Diceros bicornis minor: one gene and its partners. The protein of the gene in region 1 purifies or fractionates together with the protein of each later gene. This does not show direct contact. Links are inferred from orthologs where the notes say so. Each region holds a gene or a part of one and is shown on either strand. Other genes may lie near its edges.

Evidence for each region.
Region 2: the proteins of ENO1 (region 1) and PARK7 fractionate together in Homo sapiens (co-fractionation; 3 studies listed by BioGRID). This does not show direct contact. The link is inferred for Diceros bicornis minor from reciprocal best matches to the Homo sapiens genes ENO1 and PARK7.
Region 3: the proteins of ENO1 (region 1) and TPI1 fractionate together in Homo sapiens (co-fractionation; 4 studies listed by BioGRID, with this or other methods). This does not show direct contact. The link is inferred for Diceros bicornis minor from reciprocal best matches to the Homo sapiens genes ENO1 and TPI1.
Region 4: the proteins of ENO1 (region 1) and FBXW7 purify together in Homo sapiens (affinity purification with western blotting; 3 studies listed by BioGRID, with this or other methods). This does not show direct contact. The link is inferred for Diceros bicornis minor from reciprocal best matches to the Homo sapiens genes ENO1 and FBXW7.

Annotation. Positions count from the first base shown.
Region 1 is NC_080752.1:28,557,400-28,565,457, forward strand, and holds the start of ENO1 (alpha-enolase), read right to left. Parts: upstream 3,252-8,058; 5' UTR 3,172-3,251; intron 834-3,171; 5' UTR 825-833; coding exon 740-824; intron 1-739. UniProt on the Homo sapiens protein: Glycolytic enzyme the catalyzes the conversion of 2-phosphoglycerate to phosphoenolpyruvate. In addition to glycolysis, involved in various processes such as growth control, hypoxia tolerance and allergic responses.
Region 2 is NC_080752.1:27,789,252-27,796,881, reverse strand, and holds the start of PARK7 (Parkinson disease protein 7), read right to left. Parts: upstream 3,083-7,630; 5' UTR 3,010-3,082; intron 2,071-3,009; 5' UTR 2,048-2,070; coding exon 1,958-2,047; intron 557-1,957; coding exon 455-556; intron 1-454. UniProt on the Homo sapiens protein: Multifunctional protein with controversial molecular function which plays an important role in cell protection against oxidative stress and cell death acting as oxidative stress sensor and redox-sensitive chaperone and protease.
Region 3 is NC_080756.1:54,878,431-54,886,222, reverse strand, and holds the start of TPI1 (triosephosphate isomerase), read left to right. Parts: upstream 1-4,765; 5' UTR 4,766-4,780; coding exon 4,781-5,006; intron 5,007-6,234; coding exon 6,235-6,358; intron 6,359-6,470; coding exon 6,471-6,555; intron 6,556-6,629; coding exon 6,630-6,762; intron 6,763-7,053; coding exon 7,054-7,139; intron 7,140-7,495; coding exon 7,496-7,583; intron 7,584-7,714; coding exon 7,715-7,792. Other genes in the region: USP5 (ubiquitin carboxyl-terminal hydrolase 5), read left to right, coding at 209-297, 933-1,124, 1,640-1,783, 1,860-2,005, 2,224-2,377, 2,674-2,758, 3,386-3,479. UniProt on the Homo sapiens protein: Triosephosphate isomerase is an extremely efficient metabolic enzyme that catalyzes the interconversion between dihydroxyacetone phosphate (DHAP) and D-glyceraldehyde-3-phosphate (G3P) in glycolysis and gluconeogenesis.
Region 4 is NC_080750.1:40,825,886-40,833,161, forward strand, and holds the start of FBXW7 (F-box/WD repeat-containing protein 7), read right to left. Parts: upstream 3,240-7,276; 5' UTR 2,197-3,239; intron 1-2,196. UniProt on the Homo sapiens protein: Substrate recognition component of a SCF (SKP1-CUL1-F-box protein) E3 ubiquitin-protein ligase complex which mediates the ubiquitination and subsequent proteasomal degradation of target proteins.

The DNA of each region.
Region 1 (8,058 bases):
GTGACTCAGCTCTAACTGGCAGGTCTCCGCCATGTGCTCAGCACCATTGGGTGATTCTGCCTGAAGCTCCTTTTCCAACCCCACCCATTACGTCCATTTGGAAAAAAGCTGAGATATTGCTAGAGGGAAGACCAGGCTCTGAAGCACTAGATTTTTCTCAAAGTCAAAGTGGGGGGGAGCTTTTAAGCGTCCCCATTCTCTTCTTTTTTCACATGGGCAAACCCCTCCTTGGGGCACTTACAGCCAGGTAGAAATAAGAGCCTCTGGAACGTCCCAACACCCAAAGGTAAGAACTATCCCAGATCCCTGGTTTAAGAGTGATTCCTGGAAACAAAGATAAGAGTGCTATAATTACACTCGCACTTGCTTATCTCTTTCCTTTTCAAGAGAGAAAGATCCATCCTATCACACCATATCAGCTTAACTGGTCACAGCAAGCTGTGAAGCAAACCAGTGATGGGCCCTTTTAGGGACAAGGTATCGCCTTACTCCCCTACCTCACTGACCTAGGAGCCAACCTGGCTTGTTTTAAATACCAAGAAGCAGCAAGATAAGGACTCCCATGCCCTACAGCACCCCCACACTCCCCCAGCCAGGAAGCACAACCTACCAGCATGTGCCGATCAGAAAGAAAGGCTTTTACAGTAAGACTTTTCTTTGCCTAAGGCCGTCATTTTTAAAAAGTTTTAAAAAAATGGCATGTGGTGGAAGGAACTATAGTAACAAAGGTGGCACATACCTTTTGAGGTACAGAGATCAACCTCAACAGTGGGATTCCCACGAGAGTCGAAGATCTCTCTGGCATGGATCTTGAGGATAGACATGGCGAATTTCTGTGGGGAAACACAGATCATATTTTCCACAAACCATAATGCAGCCTCAGCTCATTCATTCAAGGCATCACTTCTGAGAACTCCTAGACTTGAAAGAATCTGCATTGGACTAAATACTGGATGTAGGAAGGCTAACTAGAGTGGGAGAGGGCCTGCTGGAAAGCAGGAGGAATTGCTCCTAAAAAAGTAGGTTGGGCCCAGCTCTACAAGGCCTTAATCCCCAGCAGTTCAGGTCTCGTCCTATAAGCAAAGCCTGAACATATATGACTGTACTGGGGAGCAATCAAATACAACGGGAAAGATTAACGTGTTGATGGCATACAGAATGGCTGAAGAGGAGGCAGTCTGAAAACCGGTTATTGTCATTAGTTAACAATGAGGGTTGGCATGGCAATGGAAAAAGACCAAGGGGACATGAAGGTCCCAGGCAAACCCATCTAAGATAAAAAAGGTGGGGTGGGGAGGGAACCAGGAGGAAAATTTGGTTTGTAGTGAAATAGTGAATTAAAAGATGGGGACATAATTCATCAAGTTAAACTTGAGGTAGCAGTAGGATGTTCAACTGGTAGATATTAGATAATTAGAAATTTTCAGTTTGGAGGCCAGGAGTGAGCTCCTTGGTCTGTGCACTGTGATCTTTGCCACTGCCAATTTCCAGGGCTTTCCAACCGCACAGTACTTGAGTCTTTAGCAAGACAGGACACGTTAATAATGACATCTAATTAGTATTTCTTTCAAAGGGCATTTTACTCCATTAAAAAACTCAACTATGAAATGTCATGATTTGTAACTAGAGGAAAGATTCTATTTTTGAAAATACTCCAAGGAAAGAAGCTTCCTTTGAAAACATCTCAAAAAAAAAAAAAAAAAAAAAAAAAAAGGTTTGCAGCTACAAAGTGCAAACAGCAAATTCTCAAAGAAAGGCCTTTTCCTTCCTTCTCCCACCGGCTCTCCAAGGAAGAAATGAATTGAACAACGTGTAGGACTGAAGTGGATGAGAGGAATTGAATTAGTGTTCAGAAGCCATTATCTAACTGGGCTCCCCCCCAATATCTTCTCTGGAATGTTCTGAAGCAGAAAATGGCATCATTTTTTTTTCTTTTTAAGTTTCAAAATTAGATGCTGAAGTCACTTTTGTGGCTTTATTTTCTATGTAACAATGGAGTTTTATTCATTAGCCAATAAAAAAATATCTAGTTTTTATCTACTATCTTACAAAAAGGCAAATTCAGTCAAACGTGTTTTTTAATTTTAGTTACCTTTGAGTTTTGGCAAATTATATACCTGTGTAACACATTTGTCACCCCAAGAAGTCCCCTCAGCCAGTTTCCAGTCAACCTCCCCCGCCCCAAACCAACTGTACTTGATGGATTTCAGATGCGCTTTAAAGCGCATCTTGATTACACTACCTCAGCATACAGCTATAGGAACTCATCTTTTATCTCATTTTAGTGACATAAGACAAAGTAATTAACTTATTTCATGATGTGAAAATAAAATCCAACTGATCTTTATATTGGATAGAAAAACTATTCTCCGAAGTCATTAAGGGTCAGGGAGAGGCTGGTCTGACCACACGGCTTCACCGCTTTTTGTGTGTCTGGACGGAACCCCGGACCACGAGCAGCATGAGTGGACCGGGCGGCCCGGGCCTAGGTGTGCCCTGGAGGCAAGTCAACCGACGGGCCACACAGCCCAGACCACGCTGCAGAGAGAGAGGTGAACAGGAAGTTTCCTCAAAGTACACCTTTTTTAGGTCAGATCAGGGGCCGACTGCTGGCGGCCAGCCAGGGGCGCCGGGAGCAGCTCGTGCCCGACCAGGGCGAGGTCGCCTGGACCGCTTCCCAGCGATCCCCTGGCTCAGCTGCAGCCACTCAAGAGTAAGCATCTTCTGGAGTTGTAGCCACTGCCCATGTCGGAGCAGCAGCTTCCTGGGCATCTCTCCTTTCCCTGCCCCTGCCTCGACTTTAGGGAGGGCCTGGCTTGCATGAGCACCGGGGTCAGGCCTGGACTGCTCCCCAGAACCTTCCCCTCTCCACGCCTGCTCTCTTAAGTGGCCTGCGCCTTCTGGTCCTGACCTCCCAGCACAGTTACGCGGCCCTGCAACTCCGTAGTCACTTGTTGAGCAGCACCCTCCCCTCCGGGAAAAGCAGGCGCCGCGCCCCGCCTCGGGCCGGGGTGCGCGACTCCGGCCGGGGACTCGGCTCGCACGCGCCGGCCCGCCCCTTCCACGTCCCCGCCGAAGCTCCGGGCACGCCGTCCGGGGAGCAGGAACCCCCAGAGGACCCCGCGCCGCCTGCCTGGGTGCGGGCTCGGCAGCCCTTCCCCGAGCACTCACCTAGCCGCCGGATGTCGCGCCCGGGAAGAAGCAGAGAGTGCTGCAGACACCGAGAGAAGCGTTAAGCCAAAAGGCCTGCGCGCTCCCAGTCCCCTGAGCTCGTCTCCGCGCCGCCCCTCCCGACTTCCTGCCCAGCTCGGGAGACCCCGCCCACTTCCCGCCCCCTGCGCGACGCCTCGCCATTGGCTCCCCGCGCCGTCACTCAGGGCCTCGCCTATGGCCGTCACGGCGGCGGGGACGGGGGGACGATGACCTGGGGGGATGGGGCGGGGCTGGGGGGCACCTACTGCACCGCGGCTGTGTGGGGGTGCGGGCGAGCCCCCTCCCCGCGGGGACTCCCTGGCCAAGCAGCGTCTGCGGCGCCGGGGCCCGGGGGCGGGGCGGGCTGGCCCGGCCGGCATGAGGGCTCGGGGCTTCGTCACGTACTCCGAGTCTTGCACGCACACAGCGTCGCTCCGCCGGCGCACGCCCGGCCCACGACCTTGGTGACGACCTTCGCGGCCCGCCCTGCCGGCCCTTCGCCCCCCTGCCCCGCAGCGTGGTGCCGGAGACCCCGTCGGCCTAGAGACGTTGGCGGCCGCGCGCCGCGACCCCGCTCCCGGGCCGCAGAGCCGCGTGCTGGGGGCCACGTGCGCCTTCCCGCGCCTGCGCGCTGCGCCCCGCCGCGCCCCCGGCCGCCCGCCGAGGTGACCCCGACCCTTTGTCCTTGTGCGCCGGTCAGACATGAGAGCCAGGTGGCTGAGAGGCAGTTCACTTTCCTTTAGTTACAGCTAATACTTTTTGAGCGCGGCCTGCGTGCCAGGCACATCTCCACGTGCGCCCCAGAGTTAATTCATTCAATAGCTCTTGTTAATGTTGCTTTTTGCAAGGAGGCTTAATATCCCTCGCTTTGCCCCCGGGGTAGATCAGATGTGCCTGGATGCATGTGAACCATCGTGTATAATGATTTGGACAGGAATTTCACACAGACCCGGGAGATTTCTCAAAGTTCAAACCAGATAATATTCCATGGTAGTCTGGCAAATGAAAACCAGGAAGGGGCGGCTGCAGTGATTTACCTTTCTGTTCAGGAGTTGATACTCATTTAAAATCAGTCCTGCAGCACATCCCCCGATCGCTTCCATTTCTATGACAGTTATATTTCTCAGCATTCGTCTTGGTCTGTAAGTCTGAGAGCTAAAACAGTGTCAGACATTGTTTTACATCTCCATATTTTCCACATTGCCTTGCATAGAGAGATTCAAATGTGTATTTGAATTTAATTCCTATTTCTTCTGGCTAGCTGCAAAAACTGTTTTTCTTCCTTCCCTCCTGGCATTTTTATCTCCCCACCTACTGGCTTAGGTTTCCAAGGCCTTGGGTAAAGGTGATGGTCTGTTGAGCCCACGGTATTTGTTCTCCGTTGACTAAGAAGCAGGAACTTTAGGATTAAATTCAGCAAAAAAGCAATAAGGAAATTGTAAAATATTTCACTGAAGAATTAGATGAATTTTGCAAGCAGAGTTGATGATTTCACCAGCAAGATGCTAATGTTTCAGACTGCTTAAAACCAAGATCCCAGCCCCATGACTCAGCAGCTAAACCAACAGCCAACATTTCCTAAACCTTAAGAACTTTACAGAAATCAGACACTTAGAGCTCTTATTTTCAGAGCAATTCTAAGGCGTGGCCCTGAAAGGGCTCCAAAACAATCTCTTTTATTTTACATTAAAAGGGTTAGAGAGATAAAGATAGAAAGACACGACTCTTCTAACTGCTCTCTGGCCAGAACCAGTGAATCGAGCAGGAAATCAGATGCAGAACATGATCTCAGACAGCTGCTGTCGCAAGATTCTGGGAGGCCACAGCACAGTGTTCTGCGCACTTTGACCTCAAATTGTAGCTCAAATGTTAATGATTGGTAGAGATGCCCTCAGGTCTTTCCCCAAATCCACAGGCTGCCAAATGCTTTTCCTGTCTCCACAGCTCCTGAGGCTTTGTTAACAGGTGTGGGGCTCACATTTGCCTGCACTCCAGTGCAGGGGCATTTACCTTGTTACAGCTGTTTTGTTATTATTTGTCACTCACAGTACAATTGTTGAGCAATTTCACCGCAGTGGCATACCAAAGGCACTTGCCTTGCTGGTGGGCAGGAAGAGGAAGTGAGTGTCCAAGGCTACTATCAGAAGACCACCTGGGGAAGCACTGCAGGTAGCGCCTGCAACACATTTGCAGGTGGGCACCAGGGTTGAGGGAAGGAGAATCTGCAGCATCCTCTGACCCGCCTGGGTTACAGATTCTGTCTGTGGGATGTGCACCCCTGGTTGAAAACTGCTGGTCGACTGAAAAAGTGACATGCCTCTTTGGAAGGTGGGTCTCTAGCCAGATAGGAAACTTCAGGGTTGAATAAGTGGCCCAAGGGAGGAAAGAGATCCTCTGAGAGCCGAAGGCCCTCAGGGGATGCAGGTGGATGGCCCCTCCTTGTGATCGTGAGGTTTGTGTTTGTCTGTCATCATTTCACATATGCCAAAGACTACATAAAGTGTATCTGGTGTAAAGAATAATAAATGAACGTCCGTGTACCCACCACCAGCTTAAGAAATGGGACACTGGCAATGCCAGTAAGGTCCCTTGTGTATTCTTAGGCCACAGAGGTGATCACTACCCTAAATTTTGTGTTTATTATTCCCTTGCTTTTCTTTATGGTTTTTAAATACAAATTTTGAACTTTGTATAAATGGCATCATGTTGTTTGTAGCCTTTTGCTAGAATTCTTTTTTTTGCTCAACTTGACATTTGTGAGCTCCATCCCTCTAGCTGTGGATGGTTGGTTTTCAGTGCTATATAGTATTCCATTGTGTGAATATCACACGTTTTCCTGTCAGTATACATTTGGATTGTTTCCTGGTTCTTTTTTTCTTGTTACCAACAATGCTGCTATGAACTTTGTTGCAAATGTCTTCTGAGCACAGGCAAGAGTTTCTCTAAGGCATATACCTAAATCATACACCTAGATGTGGAATTTCTAGGTCATGGGTATAAACATCTTCAACTTTGTTTTCTTTTTTTTTTTTTAATTTTTTAATTTTTTATTTTTTCCCCCGAAGCCCCAGTAGATAGTTGTATGTCACAGCTGCACATGCTTCCAGTTGCCGCATGTGGGACGCGGCCCCAGCATGGCCGGAGAAGCAGTGCATCGGTGCGCGCCCAGGATCTGAACCCGGGCCGCCAGCAGCGGAGCCCGCGCACCTAACCGCTAAGCCACGGGGCCGGCCCTCAACTTTGTTTTCTAAAGTATCTGTACCTCTATGCGCTTCCCCCAGCAGCCTATATGAGTTCTGACCCAGCTTTAAAAAGAATCAAATTCAGGGCTGGCCCCGTGGCTTAGCGGTTAAGTGCGCGTGCTCTGCTGCTGGCGGCCCGGGTTCGGATCCCGGTTGTGCACCGAGACACTGCTTCTCCGGCCATGCTGAGGCCGTGTCCCACATACAGCAACTAGAAGGATGTGCAGCTATGACATACAACTATCTACTGGGGCTTTGGGGGAGAAAAATTAATTAATTAAAAAAAAAATCAAATTCAGCTCTTCCCTTGCATTTTTTTCTAGAAATTTGATGGCTTCTCAATTTACCACCAAGTCCTTCACTTAAAGAAACCCACGTGTCCTCTCTGTAAACTGCAGTCAGCATTGTGCCTTTATGATGGCTTTGAGGGCACCTCTTAGGGCCTCCCACTGTCAACAGCCCCCTCCCCGCCATCTTCAAAGCTGACCTCACAAAGTCAGGAAGTAGGGATTGGGCAAGGCACACGTTTGGGAAGACAGAAGGGAGGCAGCACAGTATGGTTTTTAAACAAAGTCATTGCTAGAAGGGCATGTATCAGGGGTGCCCAAATGGGAGGAGTAAGTAGTAGGGGGATTAAAGAAAAAAAAAACCCAAGGAAGTCAGGGAAGCAAGGAGCAGGCACCCAGCGAGCAGAGATCTCCTTGGAGGAGCTAATGAATGAGGGAGCCAAGTGGAGACTGAGTGGGGCTCTGAACCAACAGGAGAAAATCAGAGGAAAGAGTCTGTATCTTGTGTCAAAGAGCTCTGCGTGGATCCTCTTGTGCCTGAGCTCATTTATCTTTGAAATGGGTGCAATAATACCAACCCCAGGAGGCAGTCTTGAGCTGTAACACCCCAGGTGGCTCCTATCATCAGTTTGGGAGTCATTACTGAATGCTAGAATGGAGGCCTGGAAGGCACTGATGTCTCTAAAATAGCAGGGGCAGTAGGTCCCCAGAGCAGTTTTCTTTTCATCTCTGTCTGTTCCCACCCATTCTGTCTCACAGTTCTTATGGTTGTCATTTGAAGAGGACCAGGGCGGCTGCAGCCGTGGGCCCAAGAAACCCTGATCTGCAGCCAAGAGAGGGCTCCCCCTGCCTGTCCGCTAGGCCGGCAGCACTGCTAGAGCAGGAGTGCAGGACCCTGCGATGGCCCCACTGCAAAATGCGGGTCACTGGAAGGAAGGAGCCGTCAGATGACACAGTGCGTGAGCTCCAGATGGAAAAGCAAGAGCCAAGTTCTCCTTTCAGAAGGCACTGGCCCCTTGTGATTCACTGAGAGTAGGGTTTTTGCAGAGGCTTTGCGTGGACCACAGTTAATGAGAAAATTCTCCCTCCACCTATCACAGAGATGTTACTGAGGCCTTATCGCCTGCCAGGTATAACTCGTTGAATCCTCATGACAAGTCCATGAATAGGTTCCATGTGATCTTCTCCACTTCTCAAGGCACAGAGAGGCTGGCTGACTTGGCCAAGCCTGCAGCTAGTGAATGGAGGCACCGGGGGACCAACCCAGGCAGCCTGGCTCCCCGCCCTCGCCCCCAACCACTTGGCATTGGCTCCTCCAAGATGAAGTTCACCTCGTC
Region 2 (7,630 bases), about 770 kb from region 1:
ACTAATCGAGTATGAGTGTTCCACATAAAATGAGTCACACAATGACATCTGTGTCACTAAAAGAGAAAAGGTAAAAAGCTGCTTTCGAATAAGAATAAGAAACGAACAGGCAACGTTGACAGTTGCTTCTCTCATATCAAGTAACAAAGCTATACCAGGAGGCAAGGCTGCTTGTGTAAGCCAGCAGAATCCTGATGGAAGTGTCCTGTCCACCCACCCACCCACTTACTGAGCACATGCCGTATCAGGGAACTGCCAGGTTCCATGAACACAGGGTGGAAAAGGCAAAGTCCTCGACTGCCCAAGGCTCAGTTTAGTGGGGAAGACATCTAAGCATAGTAACTTTCTTAAAATAAGTCTGTGCTAACCACAGCCTTAGATGCAGTCAAAACACATTTCAAGAAACTGATAAAAAAGCCACAGGAAGGAATAATTCCAAGTATGGAGAACACACCTGTTTCCTTGCATCTTCCAGACTGGCATCAGGACAAATGACAACATCTCGGCTACACTGTACTGGATCTTTTCCAGCCAGACCTGCAATGGTGACCTTAATCTAAGAAAAAGACACCATCATGATATTTAAGAATACAGAAACATAAATTTAGAGTAACACTTCACAGCTGCCCTGTGTTTTAAAATAACTTGGCAGGAAATACTGCAACAAAACCATGCTGACTTTAGCTAATAAGTTGGCTAAAGATATTTAATAACTAGGTCTGTCCCAGTCTGCCCGGGAGAGGACTGGTTTACAGATGCTGCCTCTGCGCCCTCTCTGGTTAGTGTCCTTTCTCCCACAAGTGTTCTGGTTTGGGCAATAAAATATATGATCATCCTATTAATAATCCATCTTGCAAAGTTACTGCTGCCATTTAAACCTTATGGTATTTTCTTAAAGCAGAATTGCAAGCTAAGAAAATATACTACTTTTTCCTCACAAAAAAGTTGACAGTACCAAGAGCCAGTACTGGACAAACTGGCATTTCCCTACACTGCTGATGGGCCACACATTGGTACCCTGGAGAGTCATCTGACAAAATCTAGCAATGCCAATTATGGACCATCCTTTGGCCTAGCAATTCCATTTTTAAGCAGAGAGCCTGGAAAAACTTCCACAAGTTTGCACATGGCAACTCGGACAAGAATATTACAGTATTGTAATATATTACATTGTAACGTAATACAGTATTGTAATACACAGTGTAGTGAAACAATGTAACAGAAGAATGGACTGTGGGCATGTTCATACAGTGCAACACTAAACAGCAATTTTAAATAAACAAACTGGATCTATATGTATCTTCACTTATGAGAACCAGAGGAACGCTGGGTTAACAGACTCCGGGGCCAGACTGCCAGGGCCTGAGTACTGCCTCTTCTACTTACTAACTCTACAGTGTGGACACTTTATTTGGTGTCTCTGTGCCTCAGTTTCTTCAACCATAAAATGAAATGGCAATAACTCATAGGGTTGCTGTAAAATTTAAACAAGTTTATATAAGTGCTTAGAATGACACTAGTACGTGCTATTGTTCACTATGGTTACATACACATATACAGATATATAATATAGACATGCAAAATGAGAACTACACGCTAATACTACTTTAAAGACATGCATGGAATGGATACACTTCAGTGTGAGGATGGCAGTTATCTCTGGGGCCAGAAGGAGAAAAGGATTGGGGAAATTTACAAAGAGGGCTTTGCAACACTTTATTTCTTTAAAGCATTTGTTCTTCAAGAAATAGGTCTGAAAGAAACATGAGAAAATGTTAACAAGTATTAAATGCAGACAGTGAATAAATAAGTAATTATTATTATATAGTCTCCATACTTTTGTGTACATTTGAAATATTTCATAAAGTACACTGACTACGATTTTATTCAAAATGATTTTTAAAAATCCAAGAATGTTTTAAAAGAGAGGAGGGCTAGAAAACGTTGAGGGACTTACTCCAGCTCGTCTCATGACATCTACAGGGATGACGGTCTCCATCTCCTCTGCCCCTTTAGCCAGGATGACCAGAGCTCTTTTTGAAGCCATTTCTATGCTGTACTTTTTAAAGACTTAATAAAAAATAATTAAAAAAAAGATTCTCAAAAAACATTCACTGCAACCCTGGAAAAGCCAAAAATTTTAAGTTTAGGAATATTTTTAAGCAGAGTAACTAAGTGCCTCCTAGAGAAAAGGTTCTGATAGGCAAACACAACTGAATATGAAAAATGCATTTTAGGTTAATATTGGCTTACGTAGCACAATTTCAAATGCTGTCTTTTTGAGATGAAAACACAGTAAGGTTGTTAATGCGTGTTAGTGTTGTTTAGATTTTCTTTTACCTTGTTTTTTTAAAATTCAATTTTTAATAATATATTGTAAATGAGGTTTTCTAAAACACAAGTTGCATTTCACACAATGCGGGGAGACAGCCTTTCTTTGAAGTACTATTTCATAGGGATGCGACTGAACTAAATTTCACGGGCAAAAAACTAAATACACAGTTAGCAATTAGCCTGTAAGATTTTTGGAGGGGATTTTTTTTAGTTCCAATAACTATACTAAAAATTTGGAGGGAGTTAACAGTGTTAAATATTTGAACACTGTTTTTTTTAATAATGGAGAGAGATGGGAATCCCCCTAAGTAAAGGCAACCCAACCAAATTCCCTCTCTTTGCACTTAGCTCTCATCGTAAACGAAAGCTGCTAAACCAGGGTCTGAAGAATTTTTAGACTATTTTCTAGAATTGGTGACCATGCAAAATGGATTTTAATAAATCCACTTCAACAATCACAGGTTTAACCAGCAGTTCCAAACTGCTGGGACGCCATGTACACAATTCTGGAAGCTTCAGAGCTGCTGCTACGCTGGCAAGAGAAAGCCGCACTCGTACAGCCCCGCGCGGGGTCGGGGACCCGCCTGAGGGTGGCCCCCTCCCAAGCCCGGCGCCCCCTCGACCCACAGGGCCACCGCCTGCGCACGCGCACGCTCCCCTAGCCCCGACCCGAACCTAGCCTCGCCTCCCACAGACGCGGGCCCTCGTCTTCTGCGCCGGGACTGGGAAACCAGAAGCGGCCTACACGCAGACTCACGCAAGCACGCACGCGTACCGCACTGCGCAGACGCAAGCCGCCTGGTTTCTCATCCCCCCACACTGCGCAGACGCGCGCTGCCCCGCCTCCCTCATGCCCCCAAAGTGCGCAGACTCGCGCCGCTCGGCAAGGCTCTTCAGTGCCGCATTGCGCAGACGCGCGCTGTCCAAGCGCTCGTTGCCCCCCGCCCCCCGCACTGCGCGGGCGCATGCCGCTCGCATCCGTGACGTCACATCCGGACGAACCCACCTCGGAGAACCGCGGGGGACGGCCTGCCATTGGGCCTCCCGATTGTGCGCTTAGGATGGTTCCAGTTGGAACACTCAGCCCCACGAGAATCCCGTGGACTCACGCATCCTCACGAAATCTCCCCCCCGCGAGTGGCACGGCCCGGCCTGCCCCCGGCGCCCGCGGGATTTACCCCGTTTTTTTTTTTTGCCGCGGCCCAGTTGCGCAATGCGCGTCTCGAGAGTGGGGTGGCTTGCTGTCGACGTGCGTTTTCACGTATTGGAGTTGTTCTTTCACGCTTCCTCTGTGCACTTCTGTCTCCCTTTGCATTGTTCCTCTTTCCTCGTCACCTTCCCGCGTCGCCTCCGCTCTGTTAGGACTCTTTCTCCAAGGTCCTCCGGCCTTATCTCGCCCACGCCCGTCCCTCGTTTTTGTGAGCCTCATCAGTTACGCGCGGTAATTGCACGTGCATTCGTTTCTCAGAGTTGTTTTTTTAAGGATCTCAGTGCTGCTTCTGCGTCCAGTTTTAGCGCAGTGCTGAGCACATAGGTCTAACAAGTACTTGATTAATTAAGTTCACCGAAATTATAATCTCAAATTATATTTTTAAAAGTATTTGAATATTGATACTTATCACTAGTTTCAGAAACCAAAGTGATAAGTGTTACATTGAACAGACGGGCTCCTAGCCCTGTCCCCATCCAGTTCCATCCCCACCCCCTACAGATAACATTATTAGTTTCTTGGGCATCTTTCCAGTATTTCTTTATGTAAGTACAAGCACACACAAATATGTACTATTATGTTCCTTCTTTCTCATAAAAATATAGCAGTCTGTATACATTGTTCTGCACTTGCCCTCCTGCCGCCGCCACCACCTTGTTAAGTGAATATCTTGGAGATCTTTTCATATCAAAAAGAACTTCCTCCCCCCCCCCATAGATACTATGGTATTGTAGGTATATTCCATACTTTACTTACCGGTACCCTACCGATAACGGGTTATTTCCAGTCACTTTCTGTACAGACAGCACTGTGCTGAATGACATTCATCTGTCCTTGTGCAGATATACCTGGAGGGAAAATTCCCAGAAGTGGGAAATACATTTGAGCAACTCCATACAAGTTGAATCACTGAGCACTCTCACCGGTAACACATGAGACTAGTATTTTACAGACGTCAAGTGTTTTTAAAGTTTCAATTTAGATATTAAAAACACGTTTATTTTCAAGAAATAATGTTATTTTTGTTGGTTTACAAAGTACTTTCGTATATCTGATGGGATCCTTACAATGGTGGTGAGAGCGGTTTTTATTTAATTTTAATAATTGTAAATTGATTCATTTATGCAATAATCTGCACTTGTGCAAAAAATTTAAATGTCTTTAATCATTTCCCATTTTAAGAAGACAACGTTTTGGGAGTCTGGAATGACTTCACCCTTGGCTGTTTGCAAAGGAAGCAGGCAAAAGCCACCCCTTTTTAGCTTTGAAAGAGCATGGGAAATAGGAGGGCCAGAGAGGGAGAGGAGGCAAGTGGTCAGATATGTATTTCAAGAACCAAAGAGGGATTTAGGAAAAGCAAGAGAAGACAGGCTGTTTTGCTCTAGTCCTCACAATAAACTCTTGTAAGGAAACAACCATGCTGGTGGCCTGCTGCAGCATGAGACAGCCACAGCAAAATAAAAATGGCAAGACTGATGGTTCAGCAGCAAAAGAGAGAGAGAACGAACCTGAGTTAACACTCCTGAGACATCTGCATTACCATCGAGATCTGAAATGGACCTGTCAGCATTAATTTTTATCAAATGAATCCATTGCACACGGTTTTAAAAACTCAAATGTTACTTATGGTAGATTGGATTATTTTTCAGAAATATTCACTCTTTCCTCTTCCGCCTGCGGGAGTGGAGGGTACTCCTGCCCTTTGACTTTGGGTTTGTCATCCTTGTTTTGGCTAATGAGATGTTAACAGACATGACCTGATCAAAGCCTTGAAAAACACTGACATGATGATTAGGCTTGCTCTCTTGTACTTTTGCATTGCCATCTTGAAAAGGAAGAGCTTTCCCCCAGGGAAGTTGCTGCTGCCCTTTCAGCCTGGGTTTCAGAACTGACACGTGGAACAGAGCTGCCCCAGTCAACCTGTACCCGTACCTGAAGCAGATCATCACAGCCTAAAGGCAGACTGAAGTACTCAGATTTTGTTACACAGCAGTAGCTCACTGATACAGCATTAAAAGGCTCATAATGAAAGACAGCAGCCTTCTAACTCAGTACTTTCTACCCCTCAGCCCTGCTCTCCAGAGGCAAATATTTTCAACTCTTTAAAGTATTTCTTACGGTAATTATCTCAGTATTTTTCAACAATATGCTAATTTTTAAACAATATGCTAATGCTGTACATAAAAATATTTTTCATCTGTTGGTTTTAGACTTTATATATTGACTTCCTGGCAGGTATTAACATAATTTTTATTTCACAGATGCAGAGGTTGAGGTCCAGAAGAGTGAAATGACTGTATAAGGTCCTGCAGAGTCTTGGTCAAATTCAGATATTCTGATGCCAAATTTCACACTCTACCCACCATAGATTCTATCAGTATTGCTTATTAATAAGTCAGCAACACTCATGACAGTCTCTTAACTTTAGAGTTTATGTCTGTTTCTCATCACACATTTATAGAACAAAGCCAAAAATTTAAACCATTTACCAGAAAACACTGACACTTCCTAGTTCAGTCCCTTATTTCCAGGTAGAACCACCCCATTCTGATCCACTACATTTTTAATTCAATATTTGACAAGTCTTTAGGCACTGTGGGAAGTACAAACTAAAAGACTATTTTCAAGGAGCTTAAAATCATCAGTTTCCGGCAGCAGTTGGAACATTTAATTAAGAGATGCTGTTCTGCTTTGTAGAGCTCACAGTCCAGCAATGGAGAAATGCTGTTGATAATGTCAGTGAAGGAACACAGGACATGCCACCTCCAGATATGCCACCTTAGCATACTGATTATTTTGAGTTAGAGGAATTTGGAAAACAGCGGGTTCAAGAAAGGCACTCTGATTCCCATTTTTTTTCTTCCTGAAAGCAGAAGATGAAACTTGCATGTGAGAACTGCCCTCCCTATGCCAGGAGGAAAGAAACATTCTTATCACCAGAGAGGGAGTTGAGTCTGGCAGAATTTGTACAAAGAGACCTTGTTAAAGTAACTCGCATCATCCTTTAGTTTCTCCATTTTATTTTAGATATTTTTCCACAATTGCCACTTTTTGTTCAACCCAGTATATAAGCATTTGGGTTTTGCCACTTTGAGGCTTTATTTCCTTCTAAAGGCTCCCAGGTCATGGTAAAACATATTAAATATATTTATATGCTTTTCTCCTGTTAATCTTTTTTATGTCAATTTAATTCTCAGGCCCAGCCAGAGACCCTAGGAAGGTAGAGGTAAAGTTTTTGCCTCCCCTACATTAGCAACAGCAGCCCCATGGCCCTTCTGATCCTGGTCCCAAAAAGCAACTCTGCCTAGAATTAGCCTGATCACAATAAATAGCAAAGAAACTGCTGCCAGATTATTAATTATTTTTTATGGGTCAGATATCTTGCATTTCATCTTATTAAGTAACACTCGTTTTCTATGAATATATCCTTTTATTTCATTGATAGCAATTATTTTAGCATTTTCTTTTGTTTAGTTATTTATTGTCTGTCTCTCCTCAATCCTGTGAACTCCATGATAGGACCTTCCTGTCTTGGTCACTGGAGAATCCCTAACATCTATTGCAGTCCCTGGCACATAGCAGGTGCTCAATAAATACTTCCTACCCTAATTTCACCCTCTAGGATGTTCCTTCCTCTCGTATAGATTAATACTTCTCCTTTGTAGAACACTACAGTTCACGATGTGATTTCAACCAATTTCTTATTCCTATTTTACTCTTATTTGCCACATCAAATTCATTTCACCAGACAGTGAATGAGTAATTGTATGCGCAGGGGGAAGTTATCATTATTATTTTCACTTGTTTTGTTTACTAAGGGGGGGGGAATAAATTGAAGTTACTGGGCATAAGGAAGCCATCTGGAACATGGAATAAATGTATTTTTGAACATCCACTAAAGGCTGGGTTCAGGGCACGCTCTAGCGAGGTCTGGCAGAAAAGACGAATTTCCCCTCCGGAGCCCCCGAAAGGTTAGGTCGGCGAGACCGGAGAAGAGTGGGCGAGCCCTGACATTTCAGGCGGGGCGGGCGCAAGGGGGGAAATTCTGACACCAACGTCTGTGAAGGGCTCTGGGGACGGCTTCGC
Region 3 (7,792 bases), on another chromosome or scaffold:
AATTCAGCCATCTTTCAGCTCCTTCTCCTCACTTCTGCTGCTCCTTGTCTGCAGGGGCTCTGATGCCTGCCCAGGGCAAGATAAGAATATGGAGAATCTTCTGGGGGATTAGGTCTTCTACCCACGAGAAGCTGAACCCCAGGGTGGGGGTTTCAGGAGAGGAGGACCTTGGGATTCTCTGGGTACCAGGACATTCTCTCTTCTCTAGGACCACACGATTTGCCTCATTCCCTGACTACCTGGTCATCCAGATCAAGAAGTTCACCTTCGGCTTAGACTGGGTGCCCAAGAAACTGGGTATGGTGGCTGGGATGAGCAAGGGAGGTTAAGCAGAAAATGCTAGAAAAAGAAGGGGCCTTAACACATGTAAACTAGTGTTTCTCAAACTTTCCTCTGAAAGGAGAAAATATTACCTTAGATGTTTCAAAGTGTGTCTCGTTTGAAAAGCACTGACTAAAAATATTAAAAGACTTCTTTGATTTTATAGTTATGATTTACAACCAAAAGTGATGTTCATTGTTTTATTTTTGTGATTGATAAGATGTTTTCATTTTGACTATCTTGAAACAATTCATTCTTATGGGTCTCAGAGGCCCCTGACGACTTGGAGAACTGCTGATGTAACTTTATTTCCTCCATCAGTTGAGACTACAGAAGTATAGAATCATTCTGTTGCACAGGTTGGAGCCCCACTTCCCTGCCCAGAGCTCAAGTGTGGTAGATCGAGGACTAGAATCCAGGTCTCCTGACTCCCAGGCCCACAGTTATTTTTATTACCCTGGGACCCCTAAGATTGGTACTGCTCTGTGCAGCTCCTTACTATAGAGCAGTGCCAAGACAAGGGGAAGAGGCTGGAGATTTCCAAAGTGCTTTTTCAGGGAGGGCCTCTGGAAGCTGCTGAGGTGACCCTTTGCCTGCCATTCCACTTACAGATGTGTCCATTGAGATGCCAGAGGAGCTGGACATCTCCCAGTTGAGGGGTGCCGGGCTGCAGCCTGGAGAGGAGGAGCTGCCTGACATTGCCCCACCCCTGGTCACTCCGGATGAGCCCAAAGGTAGCCTTGGTTTCTATGGCAACGAAGACGAAGACTCCTTCTGCTCCCCTCACTTCTCCTCTCCAACATGTTAGTGACTCTTCTTCCTGCCCGTCTCTCTCCCTTGCTGACATGGGTCTTCTCTGCCTGCCTCCCCGTGGCCCTGTCCTTTGCATTTCTCCTGTCCTCCCTTTCACATTTCCTCTGCCCGCTTGATGGATGTGAGGAGCGACTAGAGCACTCCCAGCCACATTCTCTGTGTGGATGGCAGTCGCACTGGCTAATCACCTCTACCCTTGTTACCTCACAGGTTGGGGGTCGGGGCGGGTACCATACTCCAGAAACGGGGCCCATTCTGTGAGAATGGGCAAGGAAGGGGATCCATGGGGGATCTTTAGCCTCAGTCCTGCACCTTTAGGATACGGCTGGACCCACATTATGTTGTGTTGTCATTTTAGTTCTGGAATAAGGTGCCAGGCCATGGAAGAAAAATGCATGGAATGAGTGGTTGGAAAGAGGGCTAGAGGGCTGGACTGTGTGAGGGAGGAGGAGCAGACAGTGGCCCAAGGAGACAGGTCACAGTGCCCACACTTCTCCCACCACAGCACCCATGTTGGATGAATCAGTCATTATCCAGCTGGTGGAGATGGGCTTCCCTATGGATGCCTGCCGCAAAGCTGTCTACTACACAGGCAACAGTGGGGCCGAGGCTGCCATGAACTGGGTCATGTCGCACATGGACGATCCAGGTAGGCAGGGGTGGGTAGCAGGGCGGGGCAAGACCACTATGCTCCCCTAAACACTTCAACCCCTTCACCTCTGCAGATTTTGCAAACCCCCTCATCCTGCCTGGCTCCAGCGGGCCTGGCTCCATAAGTGCAGCAGCTGACCCCCCTCCAGAGGACTGTGTGACCACCATTGTCTCCATGGGCTTCTCCCGGGACCAGGCCCTGAAAGCTTTGCGGGCCACGGTATGGGCTGCCCCCAGCTGAGGACTGGGAGCCTGTGGGGAAGAAGGAGGTGGGAGTGAGGTTCCATCCTTCATGAGTAAGACCAGGGACAACTGGAATGGTATTGCCAAGGCCAGGGCTGCACCCTTCTGTGGCTGTGATGAAGGAGCTGAGGCCTTCACTGGTAGTTTTCTTGCCACGAACTTGTTACAAACAGTAATGCTTCCCTCTTCTCCAAGAACAATAGTTTAGAACGGGCTGTGGACTGGATCTTCAGTCACATTGATGACCTCGATGCAGAAGCTGCTATGGACATCTCGGAGGGCCGCTCAGCTGCCGACTCCATCTCTGAGTCTGTGCCAGTGGGACCTAAAGTCCGGGATGGTCCTGGAAGTGAGTGTCCCTGGGAAACAGAACAGGCCTGGTGGCATCTAGCCAGTCTGCTACGCCAGATCCTCATTCCAAGGCAGCTCTGCTTCCCTCAGGGGGCAGAGGGGTCAGAAGCTTTTCCATGAACGTGACTTCTGAAGGTGGGATTCTAGGAGGCTGAGACAGACTTTTGACCCAATATATGCCCCGCCTTCCTTGACCCTCATGTCCTGAGTTTGAGCTGTTAGATACATCTTTGGACTGTCACTCAAGGATTCCTCTCTCATTGTCTTCTCTGCCCTCTGTCTCCCCTTCCCTAGAGTATCAGCTCTTTGCCTTCATTAGTCACATGGGCACCTCTACCATGTGTGGTCACTACGTCTGCCACATCAAGAAGGAAGGCAGGTGAGGGAGGGGCTGCAGTGTGCATTCTGAATGGGGGAGTGGAGGTGGGAATGAGTGGGGACATCCTGGAAGTCCTTGGAGTATTTGTGGGAGGAGGTAAAGGATGGCAAATACACCAGGAATTGACAATGCCTGAAGGCAGGGATTGGCGAACTGCAGCCCAAGGGCTGAGTCTGGGCACCGGCTTTTATACATAAAGTTTTAATGAACACAGCCACACTTAGTCATTTATGTATTGTCTGTGGCTGTTTTCACGCTGCAACAGGAAAGTTGAGTAGTTGTGTCAGAGACCAGATGGCCTGCAAAACCTGAAATATTTACTGTGTGGCCCTTTACAGAAAAAGTTTGCTGACCCCTGCCTAACAGAAATGGGTGGGGGGTAGCTGTAGAGATACTGCAGGATCTGAAGACAGTGAGGAAGGGAAGGGACCCCTGTGAGACTGGGATGCTCCCTTCAGACAGGTAGCAGCTGGACTGTAGGTTTGGGGGCCCAGTCAGAGAATGTTGGGAGCCTTTGCCCCAGAATCGCCAGGATCATCTCCAGGGGCCATGTCAGAGAGACTGAGTTGATGCAGTGTGGAATGCCCAGTTTGTTCCTCCTTTTCCGCTCCTTTCTCACTTCCCCAGATGGGTGATCTACAATGACCAGAAAGTGTGTGCCTCTGAGAAGCCACCCAAGGACCTGGGCTACATCTACTTCTACCAGCGAGTGGCCAGCTAAGAGCCTGCCCTCTGACCCCTTACCACTGAGGGCAGGGGACAGACCACCTGGCATGAGGGCTGAGGGCTGAGGGCTGGACTTCAGCACCCCCTGCTCTGTACCCTTTTTCTTTTTGTCCCCAGCAGCAGGGAAGAAGCTAGAGGCCATAGGAAAATGGCCAAGCAAAGTGGGTGGGCACTCGAGAGACTCGGGATAGAGCAGGAAGGGGACGGAGGGCCGGCGCCTGTGTGTGAGGAGACTTTGTTGCTTTCCCTGACCCTTGACCGCACAGTGCTCTGCTTCCCTGTGTAATCCCGCCGGCCCCTGGTGTGGAGGGGGGCTTGTGTGTGTGTGTGTGCCTGGGTGTAGCTTTGTGCAGCCTCTTCTGCAGGAGGGGGTGTCCGTGCCTCCCCTCCCCCTTTGTGTTTGCTCCCTGTGTGGTGGGTCAAGGAGGGATATGAGGGAAATGGGGGCCCCCTCGCTCTCCTGCCTCAGTCTTTCCCCCACCCTGTCTCTTCCCTGTCCTTCTCTGGAAAATGCCAAAATACACGATGTGAATAAAAGTACAATGGCTAAATTGTGCCCTCTTTGATACCTTGGAAGAGACTTATCTTCCCTGGGGCTAACAGGAATGCCGGTTTCCTCCAGCAGTCACAGAAGAGGAGGCCTAAGTGGGTATTTCCCAAATGTCCCTAGAGGCCAGGGAGCCCTGGGCCTGGGCTCCAGGCCCTGCAGTCTTGTCAGGCCTTGGCCAGCTGGAGCAGAGTGGGCTACTCCTGGTGTGTGTGTGGGGAGTGGGTGGCTGTAGACTCTGAACTGCCTCTTTCTTAGCTACACAGTTCCTATGCCAATGTGGGCGGTCCCTCCCCCTCTAAACCCTCTTACTTGACCAGTAACTGTGGGGCTAGACTCCCTGGGTCGGTCAAAGGTTCCTGCTCAGCAGTCGGGGATGTAGTTGTACCCCGATGGGCGGAGGGGGTTCCTTTTCCCAGAGTTGGAGAGATGACCCTCAGAGCTCTCTCAGTCCCCCGAGCAGTGTGGTCTAAGGCCAAGCAGGGGTCGGACCTGCCGGCTAGCTCCCCTGGGACCACCTCTGGCCTCTGGAGGGCTGCAGTGGTGAGTAGGGGTTCCCCTGAGCACAGGGGCTTACAGTTCTCGCCTTCTCCCCAAAGTCAGGCAATTGAGGCTGAAGCGACTGGGCCCCCGGACGCCCCTAGAACGTTGCTACAAGAAAGGGGGTAACGTTAGAACATTGCAACACCGGCGGCGGGCGCGCAGGCGGGGCCAGGGGGCAGGGCTTCCCGGCAGGGGCCGGGCCGAGGATGGCCGAGCACGGGCAGGAGGCGGAGTTCCGCCTCACCGCGCTCTACATAAGCGGGCCGTGGCAGCGGCTGCGCGCTGATACTGACCTTCAGTGTGCCGGTCCCAGCGCCATGGCGCCCTCCAGGAAGTTCTTCGTTGGGGGGAACTGGAAGATGAACGGGCGGAAGAAGAGTCTGGGGGAACTCATCAGCACTCTGAACGCGGCCAAGCTGCCGGCCAACACCGGTGAGCCCTGGCCTGGGAGGGTCGGGGCCGGGGTTGGGGGGGTCGGGCGTGGGAGCGCCCTCTCCCGACCTCTCTTAGCCGGGTGTCCGCGTGGGCCTGGATGCAGGGATGGGGACAAGGACTATTGGGGGTCCGGGCCTTGACCCCGCAGCGCCCCTGGTCCCGCAACCGCAGGATCAGGGGTGCGTCGAGAGAGAAAGGTGGGGCCCCACTTAATGGTGCCCTCGGACTGTGGGACAGGAAAGGACTTCTTGGGTCATCGGGAGGAAGATGGCCCCGGGCGCGGACTGGGGCTGCACCAGCCAGGAGCCGGGGGTAGAAGCGGAGCCTAGCCTCTGTGGGCGACTGGGAGAGGTTGGCGACAGCCTGCGAATGTGGGGGAGGAGGCTGAGCGCGCGTGCGGGCCTCCCGCTACCTGCCCCCGGCCACCGGCTCCGTGCGCCGCCGCACGTAGCCCGAGGCTCCTCCCCGCGCCTTGCTGCCTGCTCAGGCCCCCGCTGAGCTCCCTCGGCCTCCGGAGCCTACGCGCACTGATCGTTTCCCCTCGGCAGCCTGGATGACTCCTGCTTTCTGCCGAAGGGGCTGAGCAGGTGCCAAACAGGCTGAGCCATTTGGGAATAAGGAGCGATCCTACAGCTTTCTCCGTTTTCTCCTGGAAACGGGAGAGCGCAAGGGCTCTATGAGTCAGTCCACTCCCTGCCACGCACGGGCAGAGAGTGCTGTCCTCAGCCCTTCTCCTCCCACCCACCTAAATCATAGAACCACGGGCCTGATCAAAAGAGGCATCCCCTTCTGGTTTATTCCCCAGAGACCCCAGTACAAACCCCAGGAGCTGGCTCCTTCTGCTTTTGGTAAAAATCCTTGCCTTGCCTTTCCTATATGGGGATGGGCTATTTTAGAAGGGAGGCGGGGTTGGCCCCAGAGAATGCTGAGTCTAGGAGGTGCCCAGGCCCAGAATAGCCCGGGAAATCAGAGCCACAGCTGTTAAAAGAGCAGAGGGCAAGGCGAGGGCCGTGGCCTCTGAGGGGCACCTGGAAGGCCCAAGGAGTTGGATACAGGCCCAGCCTGGGCTGGGAAGTGGACACAGATCATCTTGGTGGAGTGAAAAGGAGGGGAAAGCAGAACTAAGAAAGAGGCTGAAGGCTGGGGGCTCCAGAGCCCAGGATGCAATGTGGAGAATGAAGGCTTCCTGTGATCTCATCCCCCGGTGCCACCATCTTCTCCTCAGAGGTGGTCTGTGCAGCCCCCACCGCCTACATTGACTTCGCCCGGCAGAAGCTAGATCAGAAGATCGCTGTGGCTGCACAAAACTGCTACAAAGTGGCTAATGGGGCTTTTACTGGAGAGATCAGGTGAGATGCAGGCGGGAGAGTGGTGTGTGGGGACCCTGCCCTCACTTTCCTCATTGAGGGGAAGGCCACAGGGTGGGCTCCCTGCTGAACCAGGGCTTATCTCTTCCTTTAGCCCTGGCATGATCAAAGACTGTGGAGCCACGTGGGTAGTCCTGGGGCACTCGGAGAGAAGGCACGTCTTCGGGGAGTCAGATGAGGTTAGTAACCAGGAGAGGAGATAAGAGATGCCTTATTCCAAGAGGGGTGTCTCACCAAGTGTGTTCCTCAACAGCTGATTGGGCAGAAAGTGGCCCACGCCCTGGCGGAGGGACTTGGAGTAATCGCCTGCATTGGGGAGAAGCTAGATGAGAGGGAAGCTGGCATCACTGAGAAGGTTGTTTTTGAGCAAACCAAGGTCATCGCAGGTATCTCGGGAGAAAGGGATCTTTGAGCCTAACCAGGGCCACGGAGGCACAGAGGGTGGGGTCCACTGCCCTCCAGCCTGACTTGATCCCCTTGCTGGAAAGGAAAGGGGAGTCAGAACCCTTGCATCCTCCCTATCACTTCTGCTCCTGCCCCTGATGGTATAGATGCCCCTTGGAGTTTCTTCAACAGCCACCAGAAGGCAGTAGGCCACCACTGTTGTTCATTCTCTGGGAAAGGAGCTGGAGAGCTCCTTACTGTTCACCCTTCCATCTGTGATCTCTGTCCCACAGACAACGTGAAGGACTGGAACAAGGTTGTCCTGGCCTATGAACCTGTGTGGGCCATTGGTACTGGCAAGACTGCAACACCCCAACAGGTAACCACCCCAGGACCCCTGCCTCATCCTCCCCTGCCGTGGAAAGAGGTTTGTTATTTTATAGCCCCTCCTAAGGAGAAGGGCGTGGTGCTGGTTATGTTTGTTTAACTGGACAGTCACAGAGACCATCGAGGCCACCCTCTCATTTTAAAGACAGGCCCTCAACCCAGAGAAGGAGAGTGACTTGTCCAAGGACATCCATTCCAAGGCCTAGGTGGGATTGGAGCCCTTGTGTTCTGACTTAGATCCCAGGGTTCTTGCCCCAAAACCACACTGCCTCTCTCCACTGGTACCCCGGGTTTCTCCCCTTTGAGTGAAAGGCAGAAAGTCTTACTTAGTCTGGCTTCTTGTTCTAGGCCCAGGAAGTACATGAAAAGCTCCGGGGATGGCTTAAGTCCCACATCTCTGATGCAGTGGCTCAGAACACCCGCATCATTTATGGAGGTAAGTCGGTTTGGCTCCATTCTGAGGTGGGGTGGGCTGAGAACTAGACTGAGCGCTCCTTAGATGTGGAGGTAGAGATGGAGTATACCCATCCCATCCCCGACCATTCCCTCTCTCTTCTCCTTTCCCAGGGTCTGTGACTGGGGCAACCTGCAAGGAGCTGGCAAGCCAGCCTGATGTGGATGGCTTCCTCGTGGGTGGTGCTTCTC
Region 4 (7,276 bases), on another chromosome or scaffold:
TTTCATTGCCTCTGCCACCCATACAAAAGCATCTCAAAGGCAGGGACCCCAAATACTTGGTTGTTTCTTTGCTACCCAAATAAAACATTACCATGATTTTTAACCAATCTATGGTCAAAGCAACAAAAAGTCCTCAAGTTAGTAAGCAATTTGATGGAGTACAAATTATAGTTTCTTGATTTGCCCTCCTTTCCTCCCCCAAAAACAGCCTATGCAAGACTAGATTTCTCTTCTTCCTATCTTCGTGAAACATCGGATACATGACTTCCTCAAGGTCACAAAATAAGACAACAAATCCAGAGACATTTGTTTTTGATTCCACATCTAACATTATATCCACTGCTTAATATTTTCATGTCAGTACCCATTTAAAATAGACAGAATTTAAGGCTCCTTACAAAAGCATGACAAGAACAAGGTACCTAAAGAAAAACAAAGCAGCAGGAGAAGTTCCAGAGGAGAGCAAAGTGACCAAAGGGATTGAAGAAATTATTCTAAGACAGACAAAAAGAGTCAGGAAAGATGATGGTAAAGAGGAACAATCAAAATCTATAAAACCAGGAAAAGATAAACTCCAGCTTGTTCTAGAATTTTTCAAAACAAACTCTGGATGTGTCTTGGAACTTTAAAGAGGTTTGGGATAAATAAATGAATTGTTACATAATTCAGGGGGTGTAGAACTCATTACTTCAAAAGAGAAAAGTACAGGATGAAAACACTGTTTGAGAAAGTTTTAAATAAATTTAATCAAGATCCTGACTGGAGAAGTCAGCATAGATAACCCCAGGCTTACATTCATTCCCACAAAGCTTCTCTCAGCAGTGGCTTCAGAAACAGCGAACCCACACAGTTGTCTGGAGGAACCATCATTCTCATATAGTACTGCTTATGTTCTTTATATAAAATTCCACCCTACACTTAATGCTTAAGGTCTGTATAAATTTACAAAATGTTAACTACTTTCCTGCACCTTAATTTGGCACTCTGAGAAGATATCTAAAACACAAATCAAAGATTTTATAGACTTCACCTTTAAAATAAGGGAAGAGGGCCAGCCAGTGGCTTAGCAGTTAAGCGCAGTCGCTCCGCTACTGGCGGCCGGGGGTTCAGATCCGGGGCGCACACCGAGGCACCGCTTCTCCGGCCATGCTGAGGCGGCGTCCCACATACAGCAACTAGAAGGATGTGCAACTATGACATACAACTATCTACTGGGGCTTTGGCGGAAAAAAAGGAGGAGGATTGGCAACAGATGTTAGCTCAGAGCCGGTCTTCCTCAGTAAAAAAAAAAAGAGGAGGATTAGCATGGATGTTAGCTCAGGGCTGATCTTCCTCACAAAAATAAATAAATAAATAAAATAAAATAAGGGAAGAAAAAAATCGTTCTTCAAAGAATTAAATACGAAAAGTTTCTCCTCATTTAATAGAGAAGTATAGACAACACAAACAAGCAAAGCCTCAAGTCATTCGTGTCAAATAAAAAAGCGCTAGCAATTAGAACATATGCTACTCCAAAAAAAAAAAAGCATTTAGGAAAGGAAAAAATGTAACAACTTTTATAAACTAGTTAAAGTACTAAACGCTCTCCCCCAAAAGTTGTGATTCTTAAGAACTCAGAATTTCCTGAGTGATTAAAATCTGTTACAGTATCCTCCTGACCCACAGGAACTGGACCCCAAAAACGAGAAGGTAAAAAACTCTTGTACCAATAGGAAAATCTCTCAAGGAAGACTGTAGAAAAAAGAAAAGACTTTTACTTTCAGGGTGCACAGGGTAAAAGAGGTTCCCACTTGGGAAGCAAAATAAGATTTGCCCAGAAACAAGAACTACAGCGCTACTCACACCGGTGTACCAGGAAAAGGTATATTACAGAGATGTCCTTTGTGTGCACATATGTTCTGGCCTCCTCAATTTCCTTTTGCCAATTACTGGCAGAAAGGTGCAAGTGTCCACTCTAGAGAAAGACAGAACTCAGCGCTAAGAGAAACCTGTAAGCTTGCGTATTACACGTACAAAGAGCTAAAAGGTTCCAGAACACAGGACTACCTAATACCTCCTCCCCGCAGTGAGGTATTAGGGTACACCCTCTCATCCATACACTCCCAACACTCCCGGAAAACATCAGCAAAACTCCAGGAGGTCCCACCGGCATCCTCCCACTCGCTACCCCTCAATTCCCCCTCCCCGGCCACTCACACTTTACAGAAGAGCCGTGGCGCTGGGAAAGTGGGTTGGTTCCCTTCCTCCTTCGCACCGAGGCGGCAGCTGCGGAAGGCTCCGGCGAGTTAGTGAGGAAGAAGCGGTGCTGGTGTCGCTAAAGCAGACGGCCACTCGGGTCTCTTCCGCGCTGCCGGAGCAGAGGCGGCGGCGGCCCCGCTTACCTCCTTTTCCTCTTCCTGGGTCTCTTCAAGCTGTGTGTCCTGCCCGTCCTGGGTCACTTCTCCCGGGATAGTCAGGTTTGGGAGGCTCCGGATTTTATCTTTATAAAAGTTTCCTCTGGGCGGAGGCTGCGGCCGGCCCCCCGGGTCCCCCCCGGCCCCGCCGCCCTGGGGCGGGGGAGGGGGCTCTAAGAACTCCTCCCGGAGTCCAGCCGAGGAGTCGGGGGGCCGGCAACTGGCCAAGGGAGAAGACCCCCGAGGGGGCAGAGGGGAGGGGGAAGGGAAGGAAAGGACGGCGGCGCCGGTCCTGCTCTCCCCGCCGCCCCGGCCGCCGCTTCACATCGGGGTCCCCGCCCCCCCGGTCGGGGGGTGGCTGCTGAGCTTGGGGCCCCGGCTCATACACTCCGGGGCGAGATGCTACGGGCCCGGGAGGGTGGCCGAGGCGGCGGCGAGGTGGGGGACCCGGCCGGCTCCGCTCGGCGCCGCCCCCGCTCCCGGCTCCCGCATGTGTCGCTGCGGCTGGGCCCCCCTCCCTACACCTTGGGGGTCCCGAGCCCCGCGCCCCGGGACGAGATAGAAGCTCCGGCCCCTCCTCAGCGTCCCCTCACCGCGGAGCAGCTCACTAGTCCCGGCCCGAGTAGCCGCCTCCCTGCCCCCCAGCCGCCGGCTCGGGCTCAGGCTCGGGCTCCGGCGTGTGCAGCCGCCGCTGCCGGCCGGGAAGGTGAGGGGGGGAGAGGCGGGGTGGCGGCGGCTCCCGCTGGCCCAGCTTAGGGCGGAGGTCTTGGCGGCGGCCAGTGCACGGGGGCTAGGTCTCTCGGATGCTCCCTCGCTCTCACGCTCTTGGCGGCGGCGGCGGCGGCGGCGGCGGCGGCGGTAGCGCCCGGAGCTCAGCTCGCTGTCTCGCTCGCTCTGTGCGGGGCTCTCGCCTCACTCCAGAGAGAGGGGCGGGAGGAAAGCGGCGCAGACCGATGACGCAAGTCACCTAGCAACCGCTCTCCTCCCCCCTCCCTTGTCTTTCCGCTCGGAGGCTTCCTCCGCTGGCCTTTTTTTCTCTTTCCAATCACCCTGCCTTGGGCGACTCTGGCGCGCTGTGATGACGCTCAAAGGGAAGAGGAAGTCGGGGCTGGGCGAGCGGGTGGGTGCGACTGGGGCCGCGGGACTCGCCGCCGCTGCCGCCGCCTCTACGGCCGCGTCAGAACTGAAGAGAGGAAGGGGAGGAGCCGAGTGGAGCCTAAGCTGCCGCCTGATCTTACCCCTGACCCGAGGGCGGCGGAGAGAGCTTGCTCTTAGCGGTTTCCTTCAGGGCAGGTGGTGACTGCTCCTTTGGGAGCGAGGAGGAGGCCCAGGCCGCGCGGCCATGCTCGGGCGCACACCACCCGAAGGTGAGGCATTTGGCCCCAAATGGGCTTTCGAAAAGCCTGACTGAGCGAGAAGTTGTCCTACAGCCTGACCCTCTGCACCTGCTCCAGGGAGCGAGCACTCCACCCTTCTCGTGGTGTGGGGTGAGACCCAGCGCCCGATAACGTGTGGTCGAGCGGAGCAAATGTTTGATGAATGAATGAATGCCTCACGTGGCGCTCGCGGAGCTCAGAGGAGTTGATGGAAGTTGCAAGCGCTTTGTAAACTGCATAGCATTGTAAAGATTAGAGTTGTAATACATCTCTTCTTCCCCCCGCCCCCTCCCATGAAAGGAAATAGGGGTGCGGCTTGAGTACGGAGTCACAACCTGAGTCTTGAGTGAAAAAGGAGGGGAATTACCGGGGTGAGGGAAGGGAGCCATCCTCCCAGAGATTGTGGAAGGATTGTCGACTGTTTTTCAGGGGGAGAATTTAGTAGGGCCTCACTTTTAGGAATCGTTCTTGCTTGTTGTTTGAAGCTTTGGAGAGCTGACTTGGCTGTTAATCAGTGTCCGTTACCGTCATCAAGAAATTTTGGCCTGTGTTTCAGGTCTGACTCAAAGGCTATTTCCTTTCTAAAATAAATATTATTACTATTGTGCAGCTTTTCCTACAGATGTTATCCTGGAAGGTAAATTCAAGTAAAAACTCATGAAGTTGAAAGTGTAGTTCTCTAGGAAAATAAATTTTAGGGTAAAAAAACCAGAATCCTCAGAAATCTCTCTTGAACCTGTCGTGGTGAACAGTGTGAGAATGAGATGAAAGCAGCAACAATGATGAAAGGAAGCGGATTCCACCGTTCTGTCGCTGGACCCTGGCACACCCTACCTCCTCTAGAAGCAGCAATAATGGATATTACAAGTCTTTCCGCCTCAGGGAATAAGGAGCAAGTTTTTATAGAGAGATTTGGGAAGCTCAGAGTTTCTGCCGCAACTGCCACCGCCGCATGCAAACAGTAAACCAAGGAAACTTCTAACTGGGGAAATCCAGGGGCTCATTTTTATTAAAGTGCAGAAAAGTGCACAGAAAAAGTGATGGGAAGGTGGAGGGGGATGTTGCAGAAGCAAGAAGAGACTCACAAAGTGGCACCTGCCCACCTGCCCTTGATTCGAAGTTCCAAGAGCCAGGTTAACTATCCTGCTTAAGCTACCCTGGATTTAACTGTCTTTTCATGACCAATCCCCTGCCATGTCCTTCCAAATGAGATTCATAGGGAATCAGACCACTAAGTGATGGCCCAACATGGCTACAAAATAGATCTTTTTTGGTTTTGCCCCTCTTGCTAATTTCCTGGTGGAAATTGACAGAGTAAAACGCACAGATATAGCGGATTTTGTGAAGCCTGAGCACCTCAGATTTTAAATTCTATGGGCTTTGGATAAAAAGAGTGCAAACATCAGAGCACGGCAAACCAGCAGAGGATGCCTCCAGAAAGGTGGGTACCACGTGGGGTTTTTCAGCAGCCTGATCTGTTTTCGTTGTCAGTGGCTCCACCTTAGAACCTTAGTGCTGAGAGACAGAATGGCACTCAGGAGAGCCCTCAGCCACCTACTTACAAAGTAACAGCTGCACTGAGCTTACTGGGCAAGATCCACCCACCTCACCACCCAGCATGATAACTGGAGGAAACAGCTGGAACTGGTGACTGGAGAGGAGGAAGTTCATACATTTCCATGGTGGTCTACATCTCTTTAGTTCTTTCATTTCTTATTAATCCAGGGGAGAAAACGGTTCATTCAAAATTCCAAAAAAATCTGAAGTTTGAGGTAACAGAGTTCTTTCCCCGGTTCATCAATTTGTTTGTGATAAAGATTTGCATACTCTGTTAAAATATAACAAAGGGATATTTGCGTAGGGTTCTTTTCTCCTACGCTTGAAAGTGAGCTCTTATGAGAAACTGTTTAATGTTTTATTATCCCACATCAGTGGTTTTTACTGTCAAAGATTTCATAAGCTAAATTATCTGGCAAAATTTCTTTCTAGAAATGCTGTCTACAGTATTCAATTACTTTTAGCATTTTTATTGTGAAATATACATTAAAATGCATAAAGCAGTTATTCAGTATAATGAGTAATTATAAAAGAAACCTCAGTGTGACTCACCAGGTCAAGAAATAGAACATTGCCAGCACCCCGGAAGCCCCCCAGTGACCTTCCTGAACACAAGTCTTTCCCTCCCTTTTAGAGGTGACCATTATTCTAACTTTTGTGATAATCATTTCCTTGTTTTTCTCTATTGTTTTGTCACAAGCATGCATCCCTAAACAATATATTGTTTAGTTTTGCCCTTTATTTTGAACTTTATTAAATGGAACAACATAATTTGTAATCTGTTGTGCTTACTGCTTTTGCACAACATCGTTTTTAACCTGTACGTTGTTTGGGTTCATATAGCTGTAATCTGTTCATTTTAATTGCTGCATATTACAAATGTTCCATTGTAGCAATATGCCATAATTTATTTAACCATTCTATTGTTAATGGACATCTAGGTTGTTTCCAATTTGGGGCTGTTATAAACGCTGCTGTGAACATCCTTCATAGATTTTTTCCATCACATCTATAGTTCTGTATGGTATATACCTGGGAGTGGTTATGTGTGTCATAAACTTGAGTAAATAACACCATGCTGTTTTCTAAAGTGTTATGCTCACACTGACCATGTATGAATCCTGTTGTACCACACCCTCAACCACACTTGGTATTATCAGTCTTCAGTTTTGCCTGTCTGGTGGGTATGTAGTAGTATATCATTGTGGTTTTAAGTTGCATTTCCTTGATTACTGATGCTATTGAGGACCTTTTCATGTATCAGCTAGCCATTTGGGTTTCCTCTTTTGTGAAGTGTGTTATTATCTTTTTCATGCCTAATCTCTGAGATGCCCCATTTTCCGATATCTTTTTAGAGTACACATTTGAACAATATATTTCAGGTAAGGTAATGCTACCAAATGAGTTATATTTGGGACAAGTTCTTTCCAAAGTAAGAATAATGATAGTTTACCTAATTATCTTTTATGAATTTGATTATAAACTTCTTAAAAGTAAGACTATAAGACTATTTTTTATTTTTTTTTTGAGGAACATTAGCCCTGAGCTAACATCTGTTGCCAATCCTTTTTTTTTTTTCCTGAGGAAGATTGGCCTTGGGCTAACATCCGTGCCCATCTTCCTCTACTTTATATGGGACACTGCCACAGCATGGTTTGATAAGTGGTGTGTAGGTTCACACCCAGGATCCGAACCTGTGAACCCCAAGCTGCAAAAGCAGAGCACACAAACTTAAACCACTACACCACCAGGTGTAGTGAAGACTATTTTTTTATTTTTTTACCATCCAAAATAATGTCATGCTTTCAACTATTAAATTATTGCTGGAATCCCTCATAGTGGTTTTGGGTTTTATTGTGATTTAGTTTCCCTCAAATATGTAAAGACAATTTTTACTCTCTTGAATCTATGTAACTAAACTCTATTCTTTGCTGCTTTGTATTTTATAGC